Nothobranchius furzeri: one gene and its partner. Each later gene encodes a partner of the first gene's protein in a complex. Links are inferred from orthologs where the notes say so. Each region holds a gene or a part of one and is shown on either strand. Other genes may lie near its edges.

What was found.
Region 2: the proteins of flt4 (region 1) and vegfc are in contact, whole or in part, in a crystal structure (PDB 4BSK), measured with the Homo sapiens proteins. The link is inferred for Nothobranchius furzeri from reciprocal best matches to the Homo sapiens genes FLT4 and VEGFC. Residues at the interface, in NP_891555.2 of Homo sapiens: Gln172, His199, Asp200, Ala201, Leu202, Tyr203; in NP_005420.1 of Homo sapiens: Leu119, Asp123, Trp126, Gln130, Asn167, Arg210.

What each region holds. Positions count from the first base shown.
Region 1 is NC_091741.1:101,872,503-101,878,714, reverse strand, and holds part of flt4 (vascular endothelial growth factor receptor 3), read left to right. Parts: intron 1-1,814; coding exon 1,815-1,950; intron 1,951-2,472; coding exon 2,473-2,581; intron 2,582-6,019; coding exon 6,020-6,212. UniProt on the Homo sapiens protein: Tyrosine-protein kinase that acts as a cell-surface receptor for VEGFC and VEGFD, and plays an essential role in adult lymphangiogenesis and in the development of the vascular network and the cardiovascular system during embryonic development.
Region 2 is NC_091747.1:73,386,029-73,392,240, reverse strand, and holds part of vegfc (vascular endothelial growth factor C), read left to right. Parts: intron 1-3,927; coding exon 3,928-4,252; intron 4,253-6,212. UniProt on the Homo sapiens protein: Growth factor active in angiogenesis, and endothelial cell growth, stimulating their proliferation and migration and also has effects on the permeability of blood vessels.

The sequences.
Region 1 (6,212 bases):
CACAACATTCACTTTAAGTTATGGCATATTTGGTGCACAGATACTTTTGCATATTTGAAGTGTTTCCTCCCTTTGATGAAATATCTAGTTTGCAAGTATTTCAAGGTGAGCTTCTGTCACCCCTTCTTGTAAAGTATCACCAAACCTTCAAGCGTCTGTGCCGTTTAGGCGCCATGTTTCCGGCTGAGTGAATGCGTAAGCTATGCATTGTGCGTGGTGACATCGTTCACATCGTTCACATCGACTGGAAGGGAACTGTTTGTGAAAATGGCTAACAGTTCCTAAGAACTAAAGCAGTGGGAACTGGTTCTGAACAAGAACCGGTCTTCGATTCCTGCCCCTACTTACAGTCGTTATAAAGCCATACAGTCGTGCCTTGTACACAGAGTACTGATTGTGCTGTTGGATGTGTTTTCTGGATCTTATACATGTAATTGTAGTAATCTTACTAATAGCACTAACAAAGTAGACCCACTGGACCCCCTGCATTCTTGTGGGGACCCCTTGAGGGGGGTCACAGACCTCAGATTTGGAACCACTGCTCTAGTGGGCCCTGTGTTCACTGCCCAGTAACGTAGATCTAGACCAGAGCAGCAGCCGTCTTTTTTCGTAGATAAAAGCAGATTCGCTCTAGGATCACAGAACAGGTGTGACGTGTCAGCAGAAGCAGCGGTGAATGGTTAGAGCCAGTCTGGGGAGGCAGACCTGTCTGTGACCGACAATGGCCCCCTGACTGCCATTAGAAATCACGATGTAATCACTAGACACGTACTTAGAAGTCTTCACTAGAACATTGGGTCCCGGGTTCCAGCTCATGCATGACCAAACGCAGCATCGTGTGGCAAGAGTAAGCAGGCCATTCCTGGAGGAGGAAGGAACTGGTGGCCTTTGTTCTAACCTGACCTACGTCTAGAATAGAGCATCTCTGGGGCTTTGTTTTTTTGATTTATGTTGTGCTACCAGGTTTCACCTCGGACAATCCAGCAGCTCAGTGATGCTTTGGTTAGCTCATAAGTAGTATGCTCCAATGTTGCCAGGCATGCATACAAACACACGGGGGTGTACAAACCTCTAGCAACCTCTAGAGTTGTTGCAATGACATTTCAGCAAGTCGGACTGGTCTGCCCCATCAGGTTTACTGGCTGGGTTGACGGATGACCTCTGTAGGTTGATCATTTTCATTTTCATTAAATATTGTGGCATTCTTTTGTTCCTAGAGCATTACTCCTTCCTCGTCAGGATGGAGATCCAGCAGGATTTCCCCCCTCCGACTGAGATCTAACGTGTTCTTATTGTTGATGAGCAGCGTGAGTGACTGCTGACCTGTTCAGCGTGTACCCCGTTTCTCAGTGTTCATCTGTGAGACAGGCATCAACCCGACCAGAACAGAATAAAAATACAGAAGCAAGTCACTGAAAAAAGTCACGCTACGTTAGTTGATTTTTCATTGTTGTACTGTTCTTATCATACAGCGAATTTGTGCACTCTGCTGATGAGTTTAAGGAAAACTAAGCATCTTCACCTTCCCCTCATGATGTCCTTTAAGCAAAATAATAAAAAAAATAAAGAAGCCAAATAATTTCATGTTTCATTAGCTCCACTATGATGTTCATACTGTGGATCATGTTAATGGGAACGGTTGTTTTCCATTAGCTGCTGGGACACTTGCCACGACTGCCTCGGCTCTGGACTGATGTCAAATGCAATAAAACGCGTGGAGGGAAATAAGAGGACATGGTTGGATGTGTTTCTGCATTCTTGTCTGATGCACATGTCAACGAGGAGGGTGTGGGTGTGTTTGTGCTCGTTTCCAGGGTCCGACGAGACAGAAAAGGTCGGAGTGACAGGAACTCGGACTGTCACAACTGGCAGGAGATTAACTCAGAAAACGGCATCAATGAAATTGAATCGATTGAAACGTCTGTGGAAGTGGTGGACCATCGGCAAAAGGTTCCTCTCAACTGTTTGAAGCTTTTCTAGGATTAGACTTTTTTAATATACAAGAAGAATTTATGAGAATGTAGAAATAAAGACATGATTGGGATATGACACAGTCAAGAAAACATCCATGTAATTGACTTTTCCCTGAACTGTGATGTTTTTTGTCCTAAATTCTGGAGCTCGATAACAGAATTAGTCAATCAGGAGCTGTTTCCACTGTAGAAACATTTACAGCAGTTTTCCTCTCCAGACTTCCTGTAAGGCTCTTATTCCTTTATGTATATATAAACACACCTAGACACATGAATAAGGGGCAAGTGCCTGCACATTAATAAACTATTAGAGGAAACATCACAATCACGGATACAGATGTCCACACGTGCAGGAATCCTGTTTTTATCCTTCACATCTGAGTGGATTCAGCTGTTTTTTTAGTGTCAGCATAAAATAAGCAGCATAATGTCCTGCACCGTTAAAATATACACACTTCCTTTATAAATGCAAGGCTCATTGTCTTTTCTTTACTAATAGATTGTGAGCAGACTTCAGATACGCAACGCCAGCGTTTCTGTCATGTACAAGTGCTCCGCTGAAAACAAAGTGGGAAAAGATGAGCGACTGATCTACTTCTATGTAACCAGTGAGTATGCTGGCTGTGACCAACGTCACACAAACACAAATAATAAAATGTTTGATGTCACAAAATCGGAAGATTTAGGGTGAATTGCTAAAATTATATAAAAAAAATGCACTTTTTAAAGATCTTGTATATTAAGAGAAAATCAATCTATCAAAGCAAAGATCAATGTGAATCAGTAGTTGACCCCAAAACTTATAAAAGTCGGTGTAAACAAGTACAGTCAAGGGCTTCACCTCTCTGTGGACGAACTTTTTCCCATTTTTCATTGAGAGATTATTTTAATTCAGCCTAAATGTGGAGGGTTTTCCAGCATGAACGGTCTGTTTAAGGTCAAAGAAAAGATTTATATATATATATATATATATATATATATATATATATATATATATATATATATATATATATGTATATATATATATATATATATATATATATATATATATATATATATATGTATGTATATATATATATATATATATATATATATATATATATATATATATATATATATATATATATATATATATATATATATATATATATATATATATATAAATCACAAGACACTTCACAACAGAAACTGAAAAATATTTTAAAACGGTTATAAAAAATATAATAAAAAATAGGAAAAATTGAACATTTTAAGTTAAAAATGAGAAGAAAGAAAATGAATATGAAAAGTATTATGTGATCCAGGGAAAGACAGAGTTGGTAGAAACAGGGACCAAGAAGATGAACCCTGAAGTTGACTGGCAGCCAGTGAAGCTGGAGGAGAAGCGGGGTGATGTGGGTGTGTTTGGAGGACTTGGTCAGAAGCCGAACACAGGCATTCTGAACCACCTGTAGATGGTTCAGAGAGGTTCTGCTCAGACACGTGAAAAGAGAGTTACAGTAGTCTAAGTGTGAGGAGATGAAGGTGTGGATAACTGTCTCAAGTTCAGACCGAGACAGAATGGGACTCAGCTTAGCAATGTTCCTGAGATGGAAGAAGGAAGAGCGAACAAGATAATTGACATGAGAATCCAGGGTGAGAGCAGGGTCAAAGGTCACACCAAGATTCCTGACAGAAGGTTTGGTGTGGGAAGCAAGCTGACCAAGAGAGTCTCTGACTTTGGGAACCAGCTTGTCTGGGGCACAGATGAGGATATGAAGCCTAATGTATACTTCTCTGTCTGCATCAGTGCAGAGATATGCAACGCCATTATGACAGAGTCATGTCCAACCTTTTAACTCTCAGTCGAAAGTGACGGAGACCTAGCTTGTGATTGGTCAGGACACTGCTTCCTTTAAACATGGTACAGATTAAAGAATGCGCCACGGAAAACATCCGAAAATATAAATGTTTATTCACCCGTGACTGAAGAAGTACAAAGATGCGGAACAAGCATTTTATTCGTAGGCTGAAATGACAAGGAACGTGGGTTTAGAGGTACCAATCGCCTGAAGAGATGGAGGACAATGAGGGATAAATGTGTCCATGGTTAAAGTCTCCGAAATACATTGAAACAATATAAACACTATACAAAATCTTAGACCAGATACGTGCCAGTAATGGTGACAGGTTACCCAAAAAAAGCACTACATCCTTTGTTGTCCTGGCGGGGAATTGCTTTGCAACAATCCACATGTGATGTAGAAGTCTGAAGGAAAAGCCTCTCTGTGAATCTGTTTGCGCGACTCACACTCGAGCTGATGGAGGAGCAGAAATCAGGCTTCAGTCTTGTCTTCATTCAGCTGTAGAAAGCTCCCAGCCATCCAGGTTTTAATAGTCTAAACAGGAGAGTAACAGCTGCAGCTTAGACATCTCATGGGGCTTAAAGGAGATGTAGAGTTGGATGTCATCTGCATAAAGATGGTAGGAGATTCCTTTAGAGGAGCTCAAGATGTGCTGAAGAGGAAGCAGATAGAGGAGGAAGAGCAGAGGCCCCAGCACAGAACCTTGTGGGACACCATGGGTAAGAGAGGTGGTGGAGGACCTAAACTTGGAGATGGCCACAGAAACGGAGCGCTCAGACAGACAACAGGAGAACCACTCCAGAGCAGATCCTGACAGGTGTACCCAGTCCCTCAGCCTAGTAGCAGGTGATGGTCAACAGTGTCAAAGGCTGCAACCATCCACTACAATGTCTGGTGGTGTAGGTTTCCTCCAGATGGATTAAGACACAGCTTCCAGAAAGTTCTGCTTTTTGTTGTCTTTTAGCACAAGTCATGACCCTTGACTTCAACCACCTGCAGTACTTTAGATGTTGTTCTGTGTTTTCTTTAGAGCCAGGATGTGTTGCTTTTTAGGTCCTACAGTGATCAGTTTGGTTAGCTTTGTAACAACAGTTTATGAAATAGTAATTTTAGAAAATGCATTTTGTATTTGCTCAGGTTATCTATGTCAGATGTCAAACATTATTGTCTGACTGTGATTTCTGACCCAAACCCCCAATGAGGAAATCTTTGAGGGGCCGATTATTCACAACACTCCTGGTTGCTGTAGAAAGTCAGATTCAAGTTAGGAAGGCTCACTACATTTTACAAACTGTAAATTAGCATTTTGATGCGCACCAACAATTGCATAATATGTATAGATTTCCCATTTTAATCAGTAATAACAATAAAATATGATGATCCTCCTGGTGTTTGCTTGACATTTGTGTTAAAAACATTTAGCCACTCCTCAACAGAGCTTGAATTTATTATGATAAAATAAAACATTTTTAAAATCATCACAAACAGTTGGAGCTTGTCTTAGTTCCTATGGCCTTTATGTGTATGGCACCAAAGTTTATTCCCTGTAGCACTTTAATGCCAAAGAAATTACTGTAATAAAACTTCACCAGGTTGAGAATGGCCTTCAGCATGTCCAACTGAGCGGCACAGGCAAGACTTTATTGGGATGCTCAAAACGAAGACCGTTCCTATCGACATTCCTGGGTTGGACTCCTCTGGATTTAAGTGAAAGCGTTCCCTATATATTTTTTTTGTTGTAATTGGAGGAATTGATTTATTTATTATAAATCTAAATATATTATTTAGGGCAGCAGTAGCTCAGGTGGTAGAGCGGGTTGCCTCATGATCAGAGGGTCATGGGTTCGATTCCAGCTCCCGCCAGGGGTATCCTGCTGTTGTGTCCTTGGGCAAGACACTTCACCCAACTTGCCTGTGTTAGTGGTGGTCAGAGGGGCCGACGGCGCCAAATGGCAGCCTCGCCTCTGTCAGACCTCCCCAGGGCGGCTGTGGCTACAAGTAGCTTACCATCACTAGCAGTGGGTGAATGTGAGAGTGTGTGAAAGCGTCTTTGGGTGTCTAGAAAAGTGCTATATAAGTTCAATGCATTATTAATATTATTATTATTATTATTATTATTATTATTATATAAAGAGTGCTTTTCATCATTTTACATCATAAAGCCTCATCTTGACCCCTCACTGCCCCCTTTCATCTTTGAAGCCATCCCTGAAGGCTTCAGTGTAGATGTCCATCCCTCTGAGACCCCCCTGGAGCAGGAGAACATGTCTCTGCGCTGCAGTGCTGACAACTACACCTACGATCAGCTGCAGTGGTACCGTCTCAACCCCCAGGCTCTGCAGGACCAGCAGGGTAGGCTTCCGGAGCTGGACTGCAGCAGCATGCACCGGTACGC
Region 2 (6,212 bases), on another chromosome or scaffold:
CTCTGGAGTGGTTCTCCTCTTATCTTTCTGAGCGCTCCTTTTCTTTGGCCATCTCCAAGTTTAGGTCCTCCACCACCTCCCTTACCCATGGTGTCCCACAAGGTTCTGTGCTGTGGCACTTACCCTTCCTCCTCTATCTGCTTCCTCCTCAGCACATCCTAAGCTTCTTCAAAGGGAATCTCCTACCATCTTTATGCAGATGACATCCAACTGTACATCTCCTTTAAGCCCCATGAGATGTCTAAGCTGCAGCTGTTACACACCTGCTTAGACTCTATCAAATCCTGGATGGCTGGGAGCTTTCTTCAGCTGAATGAAGATAAGACTGAGATCCTCGTCTGTGCCCCAGACAAGCTGGTTCCCAAAGTCAGAGACTCTCTTGGTCAGCTTGCTTCTCACACCAAATCTTCTGTCAGGAATCTTGGCGTGACCTTTGACCCAGCTCTCACCCTGGATTCTCATGTCAGTTCCCTTGTTCGCTCTTCCTTCTTCCATCTCAGGAACATCGCCAAGCTAAGTCCCATTCTGTCCCGCTCTGAACTTGAGACAGTTGTCCACACCTTCATCTCCTCACGCTTAGACTACTGTAGCTCTATTTTCACGTGTCTGAGCAGAACCTCCCTGAACCGTCTACAGGTGGTTCAGAATGCCTGTGCTCGGCTTCTGACCAACTCCTCCAAACACACCCACATCACCCCGCTTCTCCTCCAGCTTCTCTGGCTGCCAGTCAACTTCAGGGTTCATTTCAAGATCCTGGTTCTGGTCTATAGGGCCTTACATGGACAAGCACCATCATACATTGGTGATCTTCTTAGTCCCTACACCCCCAGCAGGTCCCTGAGGTCTAGTGATCAAAGCCTACTGGTTGTGCAGCACCAGGCTAAAGACCAAAGGTGGCAGATCATTTGCTGCTGTGGCCCCCAGACTCTGGAACTCTCTCCCCCTGAGCCTGAAATCAGTGGACTCAGTGGTCTCCTTTAAAAATCAGCTGAAAACTCACTTGTACAAGCTGGCTTTGGTGTGTCCTTTGTCACCTCCCTCTCCTTATTCTATTCTTATTCCACCTTTCCCGGGATCCATTGACTTCCCTCTCTCCTATTCACTTTCTCTCTCCATTTATTTTGTTCTTTTCTCCTTTTAAACATATTTGTAATCATTTTTTAAAATCTTTTTATACTTTCATTTTTGTTTTTGTTTTTATTTTTGTGAAGCGCCTCATGATTTTTATCTTGAGAGGCGCTATACAAAAGATCGTCTTCCTCTACTTCTAAGCAAACCAAACACGGAGAAGACGGACGACAGAGCTTGGGTAATCAGGACATTATTAAATCACTATAGACAAAACATTCATTGTTTAAGAGAATATGATTGTAATTAACCTATAAAGTGAGGATATCTTTGTATGAGACAAAATACGATTCTTTTATTAAAGTTAAGTGTCGTGTCTTCTGTCTGGAGTCTCCTTGTGCTGCTTATCTCCAGCGGTCAATGGGCAATCAGGCGGGGTACACCCTGGACAGAGAGCCAGTCCATCGCAGGGCAACAGGGACACACAGGACAAACAATCATGCACACACACACATACACCTAAGGACAATTTAGACAGACCAATAACCTAACAGTCATGTTTTTGGACTGTGGGAGGAAGCCGGAGTACCCGTAGAGAACCCACGCATGCACAGGGAGAACATGCAAACTCCATGCAGAAAGATCCCAGGCCGGGAAGTGAACCCAGGACCTTCTTGCTGCAAGGCAACAGCTCTAACCACTGCGCCACTGCGCAGCCTGTTTTAAAAACATGTTCAAATCATTTAGAACAGAGGAAGGAATTGCGGCACACTCAGCTTCAGACACCATGTTTATGAGAAACTCAGCGTTGTGGTGCATGTTTGACATACACTGCTTGTGAGGTGATCTAAACCCCCACACAGCAGGGAAGTCAGCATAAATCCCAATCAGCAAATTGTAATCCAACATAGCAATATCCACAGGCAGGAACAAATGCCACGTCAAAGACCAGGAAGACTGGAACTCCAGAAAATAATCCAGAATAATCCAGGAGAGGAGTAGATGCCAGTGAGTCATCAGGTTATCAGTTCATCTGGTGGAGCTCAAGGCATCATTAGAAACACACAGGGCAATAGACTCACACTGCTGACATCAGATGGTAAAAAAGTAAAAAATAAATAAATAAATTAGGAACTATGTGTATGAAGATTAACTGAATGATGTAGTTAAAATCAGAGGGAAAAAATGTGTAAATATCAGTGATGAAGTGTAAATATTGATACAATTCTTTGAAAAAAGAAAATGTATAAAATGTAGTGAAATGAGTGAATTAATTAAATGGAAACTAATAAAATCTGAAAATAAGCGGTAAAGGAAAAAAAAATCATAAGTGATAAGAGTGGTGTAATAAGCTAACCAATAACAGCAACTAAAAAAATGTGTGTGTTCTACAAAAGTAAAACCAAATGAATATCGAAATGTAAAAATATACAAATTCTGAATATTGTATATAACAAAAATGATTTTGAATATAAACATTTTTAAATGTAAAAATCTTAAGATGGTTAATACTTATGAGGGGGGTACTTTGGGCATGTGTTGAAAACCCCCTGCCCATTGAGCTCCCTCCTGAACTTGACCTTCATTGCGGTAGGTGGTCCTGAGCAGGGGGGACTCTACAGGCTCCTCGCCAAGCTCAGCCACTCCAGAACTGCCTCCGCAGCATCCTTCAGAACTATTCTCCGACGTTCTCTCACACATTGAACAGGTCGTGGGGTAGGCAGATGCTCTTATGAGTGAGCAGGACAAACTACGTCAGCTCCTACTAAAATACAAAGACTCTATTTCAGTCGACTCCATAGACTTAGGGTTGATTGCGATCCATGAATCCAACAAGGTTATTTGTCCACTGCAATGTCACTGTAAGGTCACCAGACACTGATTTGTCCACAGCCTGCTTAACTATGTGCTTTTCACCTAAAGACACAGGCTGTTTGTAACCTTGCACCAGAAGTTAGCCGTAATAAATAACTTCTCCTGACTCCGCTATCTGAGCTGCAACTCCAAGGTCCATGCAGAAGACGAGACCTTACTCTTTGAATAAAATTACTGTTATTTTGGTCTCATAAAATTATTTCTTTCAATCCCCAGGTTGTTTACAACCATATTATGTATGTCTACGATGAATGTTCTACTTAAAGTGATTTAATAATTAATCAATTATTCAACATACATTTTTATTATTTATTGACTTATTTCAGATTTTAAATAAACTAAATGAGTCTACTTGATAATTTAAAAATGATTTATTATTATTTACATTCACATATTAATATCAGTACTAACAAATGAATGTGTAACAGATTTATTTTACATTAAGTGGAATTAGCCTCTTCTGAGTGTCTGAGGAGTGTGTGATGTTTGAGGATTCTTGATAAAACTGGTTCATATTTCTCAGATCTGGTTGGTCAAAGTTTATAAACAAACACTCACTCACGTTCTATTTTCCCCAGTTCTGCCAGAGCTCCAAGTTACAGACAAGCTCAGAGCTCGTGCTAAATGACCATCCTAATCAACCAGATTTTTCAGTGGAATAATTGTAGTGGCTTAAAAAGCCCATCCTTTCTTTACATAAATCAATTATTCATTGCCCTTGTCCATGAGAGCAGGGTCTGTGTGATACTGGAGGTGTGTAAACACAACCTGGCAATGCAGGGATGGGCTGTCCCCATCTGGCCCAGGTAGAACTTAGTGTGAAAACACCATTAGGTCTTCACCTTGAATTGTCACCTTGAAAAACACAGTTCTGCTGCCTCTTAATGGCGGTGATTTGTAGAGACTTTCAAGGAGTTTTAACTGTAAAATGGGACGGTTTAAATGTCAGATTGTCTGTACTGACTTTGTCTCCTCAATCTACAGATGTCTTCTCATCAGATGTGTGTGGTCCAGATAAGGAGCTAGATCTGGAAAATTGCCAGTGTGTGTGTAGGCACAGCAATCCAACAAACAGCTGTGGCCCACACCGACACCTTGATCAGAAAACCTGCCAGTGCGTCTGCAACGCGCTTCCAGCTCTGTCCTGTCCTCCAAACCACGTCCTCAACAAGGAGACATGCCAGTGCACATGTGATAGAACGTGTCCAAGGCATCAGCCCCTCAACAAGACAAAATGCTCCTGTGAATGTCATGAATCACCAAACAAGTGTTTTCTGAAAGGAAGAAGGTTTCACCAACCCACCTGCAGGTATGCAGTTTTCCAGCGTGTCATTGGTATTAGAGCATTTTATCTTTGTGAGATACCGTAGTACCTAGGTTTTATCAATCAATCAACCACTCAATCAATCAATCAATCAATCAATCAATCAATCAATCAACCAACCAACCAACCAACCAACCAACCAACCAACCAACCAACCAATCAATCAATCAATGTTTATTCATATAGCACTTTACACAACCCAGAGGGTTGTAGTAGTCCAAAAGGGAGCTGATAAAAGCATGTATGGCTTTCTAGGTCACTGAGACTTAAACATGGTTTAGCTAAAACTGAAAAAAGCTAACCTTGATGACCAAGTCAATCTGCTTATCAGAATTCATGCCGCTATCTCTAAAAATTGGGGCTAAAGATCCAAAATCTGACAGTGTGACATTTTGCATGTTTGGTAAGGAAAAAAAGAATACACTCAGTTTTGTCGTTGAGATGTAAGACTTTTTCGGACAACCATAAATCTATGTCATGCATGCAGTGTAACAGGCAAGATATCGTAGCACAATTTCTGGACTTTACTGGCAGTTCAAAGTAGAAGTCATCAGCATAACAATGGAAAGACAAATTATGTCTTTTATTGACATTTCCAAATGGCAACTTCTAGAGTGAGAAAAATGTATTCCCTAGAATATATCCTTGAGGTACACCAAATGAGAGGCTTGCTGGGGATGAATAGGTGTTGAATTAACTGGACTTTGGTGGTCAACACTATTGGGACCATTATTAACTGCTTGTGTAAGACTGATCAGTTAGCTCCACCCTTGTCCCGTTATATGCTTTTGTCAGTTCCTCTTAAAATTTATTTTGACAGCAAGGCTCTATCGACCATTTAACTTGTGATCCAGCATGCATTACAACCCGTGGACAAGCTCGGCTTGAGTTTGCAGAGGCTTTACTTCCAAACGGAACTACAGACCAGACTGTTCACCGTGGGTCCAGTTCCTCAGCTTACCTCCCTACTGGCCTAAATTCAGGAAACCTGCTGGCCAGGAGAGCTCTTCTCCACACAGTTCCGACTTCTGGATCCCACCAAACCTGGTAGTAAGGGGGTATCATGGAATTCTAATGCAGAGCAGAGAGTGCAGTTCAGATCCAGAGATGCTGCTACAAGCCTTGTGGATCTCAGCTGGACCCTGAGTTTAGGGGTGAAAAGGTTAGGTTGCCCTAGACTGGATCTTCCCGTATGAGAAAGAAGCTCTCCATTATATAACAGATTTTTCTTGAAGTTTTTAAAAAGATCCCTCCCACTCCAGTAACTGCCTCTTGTGATTTACTGTCAGTGATTTTAACAGTAGACTGAAATCCGCTCTGGACCTGCTTGCTCCACTTAAAATCAAAAATCTATATTCAAAACGTGCTTGACCATGGAGAAATGAAAATCTAAAGAAACTAAAGAGGAACTGCAGGGTCGCAGAGCAGAGATGGACAAAGAACAAAATAACTATACATCATCAAATATACACAGAGCTACTTAAATCATATGGTAAATGGTAAAATGGTAAATGGCCTGTATTTGATATAGCACCTTCTAGAGTCCTGGAACCCCCCAAGGCACTTTACAACACAATCAGTCATTCATCCATTCACACACACATTCACACACTGGTGGCGATGAGCTAAGATGTAGCCACAGCTGCCCTGGGGCTCATTGACAGAGGCAAGGCTGCCAAGCACTGGCGCCACCAGTCCCTCTGACCACCACCAGCAGGCAAGGTGGGTTAAGTGTCTTGCCCAAGGACCCAACGACAGAGACAGACTGAGCGGGGCTCGAACCTGCAACCTTCCGATTACGGGGCGAGCACTTAACTGGGCTGCATGGTGGCGCAGTGGTTAGCGCTGTTGCCTGACAGCACGAAGGTTGCAGGTTCGAAACTCGGCTTGGCTGCGGCCTTTCTGCGTGGAGTTGCGTGTTCTCCCCATGCATGCGTGGGTTTCC